3 linked regions of the Macaca fascicularis genome follow. The main gene of each other region encodes a partner of the protein of the gene in region 3 in a complex. Links are inferred from orthologs where the notes say so. Each region holds a gene or a part of one and is shown on either strand. Other genes may lie near its edges. The genes, in order: INSR, HRAS and GRB14.

Region 1 (3,563 bases), on a different chromosome or scaffold from region 3:
GGCAGTTTGGCAAGCTCAAATGACTAAGAGGGCTTTTCTTGGCCTCCCTGGGGAACCCATCCTTCACTCTCACTCAATGGTGAAGGCAAAGGAAGCTGTTGAATAGGGTACTGGTCACCCACAGGGAAGGGATGGTACTCACCATCACTGGCACTGAGATACTCAGGGTTTGAAGAAGCGTAAAGCGGTCCCAGCGGCCCATCTGGCTGCCTGGAGGAGAAAAATGAGGCACATTAGCTTGAGGTTCTCATGGGACTCTGCAGGTCTCCAGAAAGGGGTTTCATACAAGACTCCTCAAGGCAAATGGCAGCCCTTACCAGCAGAATCCCCATAATTCTAGATGCAGTCTAGGGCAGGGATGGGGGACCTTTATGTTTTGAATGGAAGCCCATCAGACAAGTACTTAAGTGCATCAACATGGCAGCAGCACTGATCCCTCCCCAGGTATTTATTTATTTTTTTTTTCACATTTCAGAGTTGGAGTCTTGCTGTGTTGTGGCTGGACGGCAGTGGTTTAATCATAGCTCACTGCAGTCTCGACCTTCTGGGCTCCAGAGATCCTCTCACCTCAGCTTTTTGAATAGCTGGGAATACAGGTGCTCACCACCACACCTGGCTGCTAATTTTTAAAATTTCGTAGAGACAGGGTCTCACTATGTTGCCCAGGCTGGTCTTGAACTCTTGGTCTCAAGTGATCCTCCTGCCTCATCCTTCTGAGTGGCTGGGATTACAGATGTGCACGACCATGCAGGGCTCTGGCTGGCTTTTATTATAATTTATGGCTGTCTATGTAACACTTAAAAGCCACTCACCCAGTACTGTTCTACAGCGAGCTCATCCCGACTGATGAGAAACAATTATTAAATTTTCAGGAAACGAGTGAGCCAGTTATTAAATACAAGCATCATTAAAGATTAAATTGTACAATGCCTTCCAAATAGAACAAAAAATGTAAATTATAGAGGCTTGCAATTAAATAAATTACCCTAAAAGCAAAGACAATACATGTTCAAAACTCATCACTTTCTAACTCTCATACTCCATTTTACTATGATCAATGCAGTTGAGGTTATTTACCTTATATCATTTATACACCATATTGTATCCATAGGGTGAATTCAATGGGGAGCTATCATGTGTCTCTTTCCGACACTGTGCTCAGTAATATTATGCCTACAGCCTGAAATTAGACATGCTGGGAATATTTACATTACAGAAACTGGCAAATGCTATAACTTGGGACTGGATTTGTTGTTCTGTTGTTTGTCCAGGCTTGAGGAATTGATGAGAAAAATGTTTTTTGTTTTGTTTTTGAGACAGAGTCTCGCTCTGTTGCCCAGGGTGGAGCGCAATGGTGTGATCTCAGCTCACTGCAACCTCTGCCTCCCGGGTTCAAGCGATTCTCCTGCCTCAGCCTCCTGAGGAGCTGGGATTACAGGCGTGCACCACCACACCCTGCTAATTTTTGTATTTTTAGTAGAGACGGGGTTTCACCATGTTGGTCAGGCTAGTCTCGAACTCTGACCTCATGATCCGCCCACCTCGGCCACCCAAAGTGCTGGGATTACAGGTGTGAGCCACCGCGCCCAGCCGAGAAAAATGTTTAATCATGTAGATTAAACTTAAAAGCATGTCATGTCTGCAACTGTGACATTGCGCATGGCACAAAACATTACGAAAATGTTCTTCTGGTATTTAAAAATTATCTGACTCAGCAAAGACATCACTCATATCACTGATGAACATATATGTCTTATTTCAGTTTTATCCTACTCTTTTTTTTTTTTTTTTCTGAGATGGAGTCTCACTCTGTTGCCCAGGCTGGAGTGCAATGGCGGGATCTTGGCTAGCTGCAACGTCCACCTCCAAGGTTCAAGTAATTCTCCTGTCTCAGCCTCCTGAGTAGCTGGGATTACAGGCGCCTACCACCACGCCCGGTTAATTTCTTAGTATTTTTAGTAGAGATGAGGTTTCACCATGTTGGCCAGGCTGATCTCAAACTCCTGACCTCAGGTGATTCACCCGCCTTGGCCTCCCAAAATGCTAGGATTACAGGCGTGAGCCACTGTGCCCAGCCATGTCCTACTCTTTAATGTAAATTTTGAAAAATTAATCAACATTCACATTGGAGCTATACTTGTTTAATTAATTGCAATAATAGGTTGGCTTCAGATATAAAGGTTTGGGCAAAAAAATTTAAAAAGTCAACAAAAACTTTCTGTGAGAATCAACTGGTTAGAGGGAATTTACAATAAAGAGTTGCATATGTCGTATTATGACAATTATCTGTAAATTGCACATTACACATCCTATATCAGTAAAATTCATAATAAACTTACATATACCTATACCTATATCGAGGCATAATTTCCCCCAGAGAACCAATGGTTCCCAGCACACCACTGAACTCACTCAACTCACCTCTTTCTCAGGAATAGATAAATACTTCCAATCACAATACTGAAGAGAAAGACAAAGATGAGGGGGCCGATGATAATTTTTGCAATATTTGACGGGACATCTACTGAAATAGAATAAGAAAATATATGTTTCATATCAATGTGTTCCCAAGAAAGTTAACACCAAAAATCACATCCACTCCTGGAATGGGTGGGCCACCCTGTTTCCTCCCTCCCTTGTCCATGAACTTCTCTGCTACTCTTCCATACCCTGATTTTTCCAGCAGTCCCACAACAGTCCCGTAGGTTCAGTAGGACCAGGCAGTGGGCTCAGAGGTCAGTATTCTGTTAGCACACTGTTCCCCACCCCCACTCCCAAATCACTGCTCATTTCCACCCCTCCCACATCTCAGGCAGTGGATGCAGGACGCCATACTGTCAGTTTAAGGCTCTGCTGCTGCCCCTCTGAAATGCTTATTCATTTTATTTTAATCTTTATTTAGTTACTTATTTTTGTGACGGAGTCTTGCTCTGACACCCAGGCTAGAGTTCAGTGGCACGATCTCGGCTCACTGGAACCTCCTCCTTCCAGGTTCAAGCGATTCTCCTGCCTCAGCTTCCTGAGTAGCTGGGATTACAGGTGTGCACCACCACGCCTGGCTAATTTTGTACTTTTAGTAGAGACAGGGTTTCACCTTGTTGGCCAGGCTGGTCTCAAACTCCTGACCTCAGGCGATCCTCCCACCTCAGCCTCCGAAAGTGCTGGGATGACAGGCGTGAGCCACTGCGCCCGGCCAAATTCTTAATAATTTTAAAGCGAGGAGCTCTGCATTTTCATTTTTCACTGGGTCTTGCAAATTATATAGCTAGTCTCGACCCCAGCGTGACTTCTGACAGACGTAAAATTCTTTTGATTTTTATGTTTTAGAGACAGGGTCTTGCTCTGTCACCCAGGCTGGAGTATAGTGGCACAATCACAGTTCACCGCAACCTCAAACTCCTGGGCCCAAGTGATCCTCCTGTCTCAGCCTCCTAAGTAGCTGGGATTACAGGCATGCACCACCACAGCTGGCTAATTTTTGTATCTTTTTGTGGAGACAGAGTCTCGCTATGTTACTCAGGCCGGTCTCTAATGCCTATCCTCAAGCAATCCTCTTGCCTCAG
Region 2 (3,997 bases), on a different chromosome or scaffold from region 3:
AGATAAGCTCAAAATAGAGTCTCATGGAGTTTCCAGCCAGAATCTCCCCCACTGCCTGCCTTTCTCCAGATGGTGGAAGGCCCCAGGCCTCACAGCAGGACCCCACCACTGCGTTCCCCCAAAGACTCTGGCCACCTCCATCCCAGGCCTGCCAGTCTTGAGCCTCATGGAGTACGTGAGCTGGCCGGGTCATGCGCAGCCCCAGGACATCTATGGGTGGCACTAAGGGCTGAGTCAGCCACCCTTGTCTCCTCTGTGCCCAAGAGCCCGAGTATCAGGCTGGTCTGAGCCCCAAGGCCTAGGGGTGCAAGGACCAGGGGTTGGAGGCTGTGGAGTCCCAAGCCCCCACTGGACTCCCACCTCAGACACTGCTCCTGGTGTTCTCGCCCAGGCCTGAACCCATCCGCACACTTCGCAGTCCTGCTCCTACCCTGTGTCCCCTCTGCGAGCCCCCATGCTCCCCAAATTGGAAACTGGAGGAATTCTGTCTCCACACCCCAGCTAGTGCCATTCCCTGGTGGGTAGCTCATCACCTCTGGTCCCCTGCAGCCCTTGCCCCTTCACCATGGACGCTGGGAGGGCAGAGCCCGCTCCCCTGCTGAGCCCCACCCTGGAACTCCAAGCACCCTGGGTCCTTGCCTCTGCATCTCCCTCAGGGGCAAGGCTTGGGGCCCCTCCTGCCTCCTGACAGGGAGCCCCTTCAGTGCAGGGCCAGGGGGTGGTGGAGGCAAGGGTCCCCAGGGGACCAGATCTGACGTGCGGGGCCTCCACTGGGTCCCCGTTGGCTGTGCTGCTTAGTCCCCGCGCCCTCGCCTCGGCGCAGGCTCCCTCCTGCCACCAGGCATACGGCGAGGCCTGTGGCTCCCACCCCAAGGGTGCGCTCGGCTCTCACCTGAGGGCTCAGCCCAGGTGTCCGGCCCTGGCAGCTCGGCCCTGGGCGCCCTCCGCCGCCAGGCGCTGTCTCCTACTCCAGGCTGTTCTTCCGGCTGCGGGGTTGCGGCCTGGGTCCCATGGCAACGTGGGCGGGTCCTCATTTGAATACGCAAATATTTATAAGCCGCAGGAGGCTCGGGTTCTGAGGGGCTGAGCCACGCCCCTTAGCAACGGTCGCTAGGGCGGGGCCACGTGAGTTGGCACTTGGGTGGGCGATCCCGGGGGAGGTGACGCGCCACCAAGTCGGGTGGGCGCAGGCGCGTCAGGTGCCAGCTCCCTGCGGCTCCGTGCCCGGGCCGTCGCGGTGCACGTGTCGCGTTTCCTCGCGATCCCGGCGCTTCCCACGCGGGGCCGGCAAGGGCGGTCTCTGCTGGAGGCTCCCGCCCACCTTTCCCACGTGGAAGGGTCGCCCCTGGGGTCGAGGCCTGACGCCCTGACCTTCGATTGGAAGTGAGGCCGACAGCAAAAGGAAGCACCGGGGCAAGCGCCCCGGAGGACCAGGAAACACAGACCGGATGCCGAAGCGCGCCCGAGTGCCCGGCCCGTGGGACACGCCGCCGCCCGCCGTTCAGTCGCCGCCTCTCACCTGCGTTCATGCGCGTCCGCCCCGAGCCGGGCTCTGACTGCGACCGCGCGGTGGATGGACGGCAGGCGGGACCCCCGGGACCGCACGTGGGTGGAGCCCCGGGTCAGCGGCGACCGGCGCAGGAGGGCGTGGCGGCGGGGCGGGCACTGGGTTGGGCAGAGGCAGGGTTTGCCTGACCGTAAAACGCCTTTTTTTCTTTTAAACGCCTTTTTTTTGAGACGAAGTTGCGCTCTGTCACCCAGGCCGGAGTGCAGTGGCGCGATCTCGGCTCACCGCAACATTCGCCACCCGGGTTCCAGCGATTCTCCTGCCTCAGCCTCCTGAGTAGTTGGGCCTACAGGCTCGCGCCACTGCAGCCGACTAATTTTTTGCATTTTTAGTAGAGACGGGATTTCATCATGTTGGCCAGGCCGGTCTTGAACTCCTGACCTCAAGTAATCCACCGGCCTAGGCCTCCCAAAGTGCTGGGATTATAGGCGTGAGCCACCGCGGCCGGCCCCTTTTGCTTTTTTTTTTTTTTTTTTTTTTTTTTTTTTAGACGGAGTCTCGCTCTGCCACCCAGGCTGGAGTGCAGTGGCCGGATCTCAGCTCACTGCAAGCTCCGCCTCCCGGGTTCACGCCATTCTCCTGCCTCAGCCTCCCAAGTAGCTGGGACTACAGGCGCCCGCCACCTCGCCCGGCTAGTTTTTTGTATTTTTTAGTAGAGACGGGGTTTCACCGTGTCAGCCAGGATGGCCCTTTTGCTTTTTAATGAGAATGTATTTCTGATTCCTTTGCAATTTAAAAAAATGTTAAAAAAAAAAAAAAAAACACGTCTTTTGGGGTTTGAAAGAGCTAGGATGTGGTCTTTGTGCTTGGGGTGAGCCCTGGGCACTTCGCTCTCCTGTGGCAACCTGTAGGTACCGTTTAACTGCACCACGCTGAGCTTCTGCATGGTTGGAACCTCAAGTCTGGGGGGACTGAGCGGGCAGGGTCGCCTGCCACGCAGGCCCAAGTAAGAGAAGTGGTGGAGGGGGCGTTCTCACGCCTGGCCCCAGGGAGCACGGCTGCGCCCGCCGCTCGAAACCCCACCGGAGCTGCAAGGCGTCCTCGGGGTGGGCTGAGGTGGGAGTAGGGGAGCTGGGGTGCGTGTGGTAGGTGGGGTGCGCGGAGGAGGCGGGGTGCGCACCGTCCGGGTGCGGGGCCACTCCACCTGCGCGGAAGGGGAGCCGGGCAACCGGACCCCGCGGCCACCCGGGGGCCCCCAGCTCCGAGCGGCCCGCCTTGGTCCCGACGGATCCCAGCCTTTCCTCAGCCGGAGCCCCGGGACCTCCGCGGTGGGCGACGCCGCGCTGCGGACGCAGGGAGGGCCTCGAGTGCACGGGCGCCGCTGAGTCGGGTTCTCTCGCCGGCCTGTTCCCGGGAGAGTCCACGGCCCTGCTCGGATATGCCGCCGCAGGCCCCCAGACACCTGCTCCCTCGCCCTCCTTGAGCAACCCCGAGCTTGCCTCCGCTCGCCGGCCTAGCCCAACCCCCCGAGGCCGCGGCCCTTCTGGCTCCGCCTCCCGCGTTGCTCCCGGAAGCCCTGCCCGACCGCGGCTCCTGACAGACGGGCCGCTCAGCCAACCGGGGCGGGGCGGGGCCTGGTGTAGCGAGGCCAATGGTAGGTCGCGCAGGGCTGACGGACGGGCGCGGGGTGGGGCGTGCGCGAGCCCGGCCGAGTCTCCGCCGCCCGCTCCCTGCGCCTGCAGCCCCAGCCGCACCCGCCGCGGACGGAGCCCATGCGCGGGGAGAACCGCGCGCCCCCGCCCCCGCCCCCCCCTGGCCTCGGCCCCGGCCCCGGGGGCAGTCGCGCCACTGAGCGGTGAGTGCGGGCCGGGGTCGGCCGGGCCGCGCGCCCTCCCCGCCCCCAGGCGGCAGCCATACGCGCGGCGCGGGCCGGGGGCGCGGGACCGGCGGGCGTGAGCGGCTGCGGCGGCGGTAGTGGGTGGGTGGGGCCGGGCCGGGCCGGGCGGGGCCCCCAGGCACAGGTGAGCGGGCGTCGGGGGCTGCGGCTGGCGGGGGCGGGCTGAGGCCCCTTAGTCCCTGGGGCCTGCGGGAATCCGGGCCCCGCCCGTGGCCTCGCTCTGGGCACGGTCCTCACGCCGGCGTCCCCGGGAGCCTCGGGCCCGGCGCCCTCATAACCAGGCGCGTCTGGGCGGAGGCGGCCGCGGCCACGGCACGCCCGGGCACCCCCGATTCAGCATCACAGGTCGCGGACGAGGCCGGGGGCCTCAGCCCCAGGGCCCTTCCCCTCTCCGGGTCTCCCGCGCCGCCTCTCGGCCCCTTCCTGTGGCTCAGCCCCTGCTTCCCAGGAGCCCCTCTGTCTTTTCCAGCTTTCTGTGGCTGAAAGATGCCCCCGGTTCCCCGCCGGGGGCGCGGGGCGCTGCCCGGGTCTGCCCTCCCCTCAGCGGCGCCTAGCACGCAGTAGGCGCTCAGCAAATACTTGTCGGAGGCACC
Region 3 (4,003 bases):
GGCGAGGATGCACTGAGATGGGGGAGGGGGGCTGCTACTTTCTTCTGGAGGCAATGTTTACCTTTCCCTGGGCAGAGGTTGTTGAAATTAAGAAAACCTGGTAAAGCAGATGCCAGGGACAGATATTACCCAATTTGGTCAAAGAACAAAGACCCTGTGAAACATTTGGAAATCCTCAGCAGTGCATAGGGACGGCCACACTCACCGGAAGAGCAGAAACAGGATCACCCAGCATTTCAGAGTAGGGCTGCTGCATCTCAGAGGGTGAGCATGATAATGCCATTACTATTTCAAACAGTCTGGGTTTTTGAGAAGTTTCTGGGTTGGAATATTGACTGCACCAGCTACTAGTGCTATGTTACTAGTGCAAGGTACTCGATGGCTTTGAGCCCCAGTTTCCTTTTGTGTAAAATGAGATAAACATCTAATTTATGGAGCTGTTGAGGGGATGGAATAGGTAGCGTAAGGCAACCTGGAATTCATTAATGTAAGCTTCTCTCATTACCATAAAACGAATAGTCTTTCTAATTCCAGACAGCTAGGGGTTTACTCATGCTTTACTGAGAATTCTCAGAATCTCAGTAGTTTTCTATAATGATTGGACTCTTTGCTCCCCACCAACCCCCCAATCTTTGGCTGCGAAGTGCATGGAAGAAGAGGCACGTGGGGAAGGACTGGGGCAAACCCAGCCCCCTGGTGCCCTGGCCTCCTGCCCTCCTGGCCCGGTAGGGACTGTCATGGCGGCCCAGCAACAGCTTAGGTGATCTCAGATGGCAGAGCAGGAAGAATGCAAGGGTATGAGGGTCAGGGCTGCGCAGACCCCTGTCCCGCCTGCGGTCCTCCCGGCAAGCCCAGGGGGAGAGCCCGCTCTGCTGGGTCTCCGCCTCCAGCGGCGCCGGGCCGCCCAGACCCTGGGCTCAGTCTTGCGCCCCGGTGCCCACCTGGGGAGGCGACTGTCCCGGCCTCGCGTCCCGGATCGGACGGCGCGGGAGCGATGCCAGCGGCCCCGAGCGCCCCGGGCCACGCGCGGTGCCGGCCGGACGCTCTCGCGCCCTCCCAGCCCCCTCCGCGGCTCGCCCCGCCGCCCGCGGCCCCCACCCACCGGCCGCTCCTCCCCTCTCCCCACCCTCCTCCTCCGCCCCCTCCCCTCCCCCGCCGCCTCGCAGATTGCTCGGCAGCGTGTCTCAGCCGCCGGGGCTCCGAGCGCAGGCTGCGAGGCCACCACACCTGCAGAGCGCTCGGGCTGCCTAGCCGGCACCTCGCCTCCGGCCGCGCGGTCCCCTTCTCCCCACGCGCCGAGTGTCCCATGACGCCCGAGCCCCCCGGCCGGCGACAATGACCACTTCCCTGCAAGATGGGCAGAGCGCCGCGGGCAGGGCGGCTGCCCGGGATTCGCCGCTGGCCGCCCAGGTGTGCGGCGCTGCCCAGGGGAGGGGCGACGCCCACGACCTGGCGCCGGGCCCCTGGCTGCACGCGGGAGCGCTCCTGCCCCCTCCGGACGGGACCCGCGGCTGTGCTGCAGACAGGTAGGCAACCCTGGAGGGCGCGGGGGAGTGTCCTGGCTAGGCAGCAGGCGACGGGGTGAGGAGGCGGTCCTAGGGGGTGAGCCATGTGCCCAGAGCTGGGCCAAGTTTGTAAAAGTCTCTGAAGACAATCCCCTTTGAGCTGGCTCCTACTGGATCAGCAGGACATTGCGATCTCACAGCGCCTTATAAATAGCATCACCGTTTCATTGAGAGCTCTCATCTCTCTCGCCTCTGCCCATCGGTGTGAAACTAGGAGGTCAGGCTGCAGGTTGATCACCTTCTGTTCCTTCGTGGCCCTGCATTTTCACAAAGTAAACTCTATTTTATTTTATATATTTTAGAAAATTGTAGCATAAATGTATTCACCTCCCACATAGAGTCTTAGAGCGACCCTGTAGAAGCAAAGCATAGATTGACATTTGAGCAGTCTTGCTGTTCAGCAGGAAAGAATAGAGGCTTTAAAGGGTTTCCCAATCTCCATAGCATTCAACACTAAGTGCCTTTAGGGTTGCACATACTTTCGGGAAAAAAAAAGGTTACAACAATACAAAAATCTATAGTCCTTTATATTGATACATTTAAATGTTACCTTTTTTCCCTGATTTTCAAAGCACTCCAACTTCAGTGAAGTTAAAATTACTCTCCAGTGGACTATAGTACATTTATATTAGCAAGTTCTATTAACTTACCTCCCCAAAACACTACCTTGCTATTTAATATCTATAAGCACTTGAAAATCAACAGACTGTGTGTGGGCAACATTGTGAATGAAATTTGAAGTGAGATGAACCACAGCTATAATTAATAAATCATAACTTCCCAAAGTGATTAGTAAAATATAAGGACGAATGCACTAAATGCAACTTAGAGACAATATCATGGATGCATAACAATGTCTGACTCTTCAGGATGATGTTTCGATTAGTAATTGTATAGTCTATATCTCTGTTTCAGGAAAATTATCAAACGTGATGGAGTTTCTATGCCTGGTGATTTAAAGGCAAAAGAGAGAGAGAAAGAAGGGGGTGGGGGAAGAGAGAGAGACAGAGAGAGAGAGAGAGAGAGAGAGGAACTATAGGAGATTTGTTTGTATGTAATTAACATACTATATTTTGACCCATAGAAAGTATATCACAGACCTTTTCTGTATACTTTATATAATATGAGCTTTGTCACAGAGTGGTACATGTTCGCCTTAGCACACTTTTTAATCCTGACAGCAATTATATTTTACATTCTGTTTTATGTAAATTACATCCTATGTTCTCTTACTGTAGGAGAAAAAAGAAAGATCTTGATGTTCCGGAAATGCCATCTATTCCAAACCCTTTTCCTGAGCTATGCTGTTCTCCATTTACATCTGTGTTGTCAGCAGACCTGTTTCCCAAAGCAAATTCAAGGAAAAAACAGGTATGCATTTGTAAATTTTAAAATTCAAATATCTTAGGAGTTCTGAATCCATACAGTCTTTAAGATTGTTCTGTAATCCACAGTATTAACAAAGGATTAGCATGGGCTCTGTTAAATATCTCAGTTGACTGACATGGTCCTTTGGCATTATTTTCCATTTAGGGCCTCATTTTTTTAAGCTGTATAATGGGAATGTTCAAACCTGCCTCCGAGGGTCTTGGAATGGATTAAAACAGAGGATATATATAAAGTGCAGTGGTTGGCAGCAATGATCATTCACAAGATAGGTAGGAGAGATGATCATTTTTAAGCCAGGAATTGGGCAGAGGCTGCGGCGGGGTGGGCAGTGGTAGTGGGGTGAGAAGGGGATTGACTGATTCATTTAATACTTCGTTTAATTTTTCACATTTCCAACCCAAGCCAACCTCATTTACTAAAGGAAAGTGATAGAGTGATGCTGTGGCAAAAGGTACTTAGAGTTTAGGGTCAACATGTCTTCATTTCAGTAGATTCCTCAGTTTGGAGACTCTGGCTGCAGAAGATAGATGACTTGTAAGTGATACTTAGAAGACTGAGGACCATATTTTTATGATTTTCTTTTTTTCAAGTTTCTAGTTTGGGACGGACTTAAGCAAATTAGATTTTAAGGACCAAGCAACTAACAGAAAATACATCATGGCTATACATTTGGAGGGGAAAATAATGAGTATATCATAGAATAATTCATCTCTTGTCATATACTTTCTTCTAGTTTTGACCCAGCAAAACAAAGAGAAGCCTCACTAAACAAAATGCACCTTGTTCTTACAAGGGTGGAAACAGTAAATTAAAATAGCCAGATGCTTGCAATGGGAGAAGGATAATGAACAGAGAGGACAAGACAGTTGGCCATTTTTCTGCATCTATTGTTCTCTTTTTTATTTCTGCACCGTTATTACCTCTGATGGGTTCAACTGTGTGTGTTTATATTTTTAGGAATGAAGGAAATACCTTAGGAAGCAGATGAATTCTTGATCATATACAGCAATGATAGAGACAGTAGGAAATATATTTGATGGAAGCCCTGT

Evidence for each region.
Region 1: the proteins of GRB14 (region 3) and INSR are in contact, whole or in part, in a crystal structure (PDB 2AUH), measured with the Homo sapiens proteins. The link is inferred for Macaca fascicularis from reciprocal best matches to the Homo sapiens genes GRB14 and INSR. Residues at the interface, in NP_004481.2 of Homo sapiens: Glu373, Asn374, Ser375, Leu376, Val377, Ala378, Met379, Asp380, Phe381, Ser382, Ser386, Val388, Ile389, Glu394, Val398, Ala399, Glu401, Glu402, Gly403, Leu404, Trp406, Arg407; in NP_000199.2 of Homo sapiens: Leu1065, Arg1066, Ile1069, Glu1070, Lys1112, Arg1116, Arg1163, Met1180, Arg1182, Tyr1190, Lys1192, Gly1193, Gly1194, Lys1195, Gly1196, Leu1197, Leu1198, Pro1199, Val1200, Trp1202, Ser1207, Leu1208, Lys1209, Asp1210, Gly1211, Gln1235, Asn1242, Glu1243, Leu1246.
Region 2: the proteins of GRB14 (region 3) and HRAS are in contact, whole or in part, in a crystal structure (PDB 4K81), measured with the Homo sapiens proteins. The link is inferred for Macaca fascicularis from reciprocal best matches to the Homo sapiens genes GRB14 and HRAS. Residues at the interface, in NP_004481.2 of Homo sapiens: Val109, Lys111, Asp116, Glu117, Thr118, Ser119, Arg120, Ala121, Leu122, Asp123, Lys140, His142; in NP_001123914.1 of Homo sapiens: Glu31, Asp33, Pro34, Ile36, Glu37, Asp38, Ser39, Tyr40, Arg41, Tyr64, Met67.

The regions. Positions count from the first base shown.
Region 1 is NC_088393.1:7,851,017-7,854,579, forward strand, and holds part of INSR (insulin receptor), read right to left. Parts: intron 2,525-3,563; coding exon 2,422-2,524; intron 211-2,421; coding exon 143-210; intron 1-142. UniProt on the Homo sapiens protein: Receptor tyrosine kinase which mediates the pleiotropic actions of insulin.
Region 2 is NC_088388.1:433,491-437,487, reverse strand, and holds the start of HRAS (GTPase HRas), read left to right. Parts: upstream 1-1,188; 5' UTR 1,189-1,605; exon of another isoform or gene 1,606-1,621; intron 1,622-3,217; exon of another isoform or gene 3,218-3,362; intron 3,363-3,997. UniProt on the Homo sapiens protein: Involved in the activation of Ras protein signal transduction. Ras proteins bind GDP/GTP and possess intrinsic GTPase activity.
Region 3 is NC_088386.1:60,172,619-60,176,621, reverse strand, and holds the start of GRB14 (growth factor receptor-bound protein 14), read left to right. Parts: upstream 1-1,162; 5' UTR 1,163-1,335; coding exon 1,336-1,526; intron 1,527-2,803; coding exon 2,804-2,936; intron 2,937-4,003. UniProt on the Homo sapiens protein: Adapter protein which modulates coupling of cell surface receptor kinases with specific signaling pathways. Binds to, and suppresses signals from, the activated insulin receptor (INSR). Potent inhibitor of insulin-stimulated MAPK3 phosphorylation.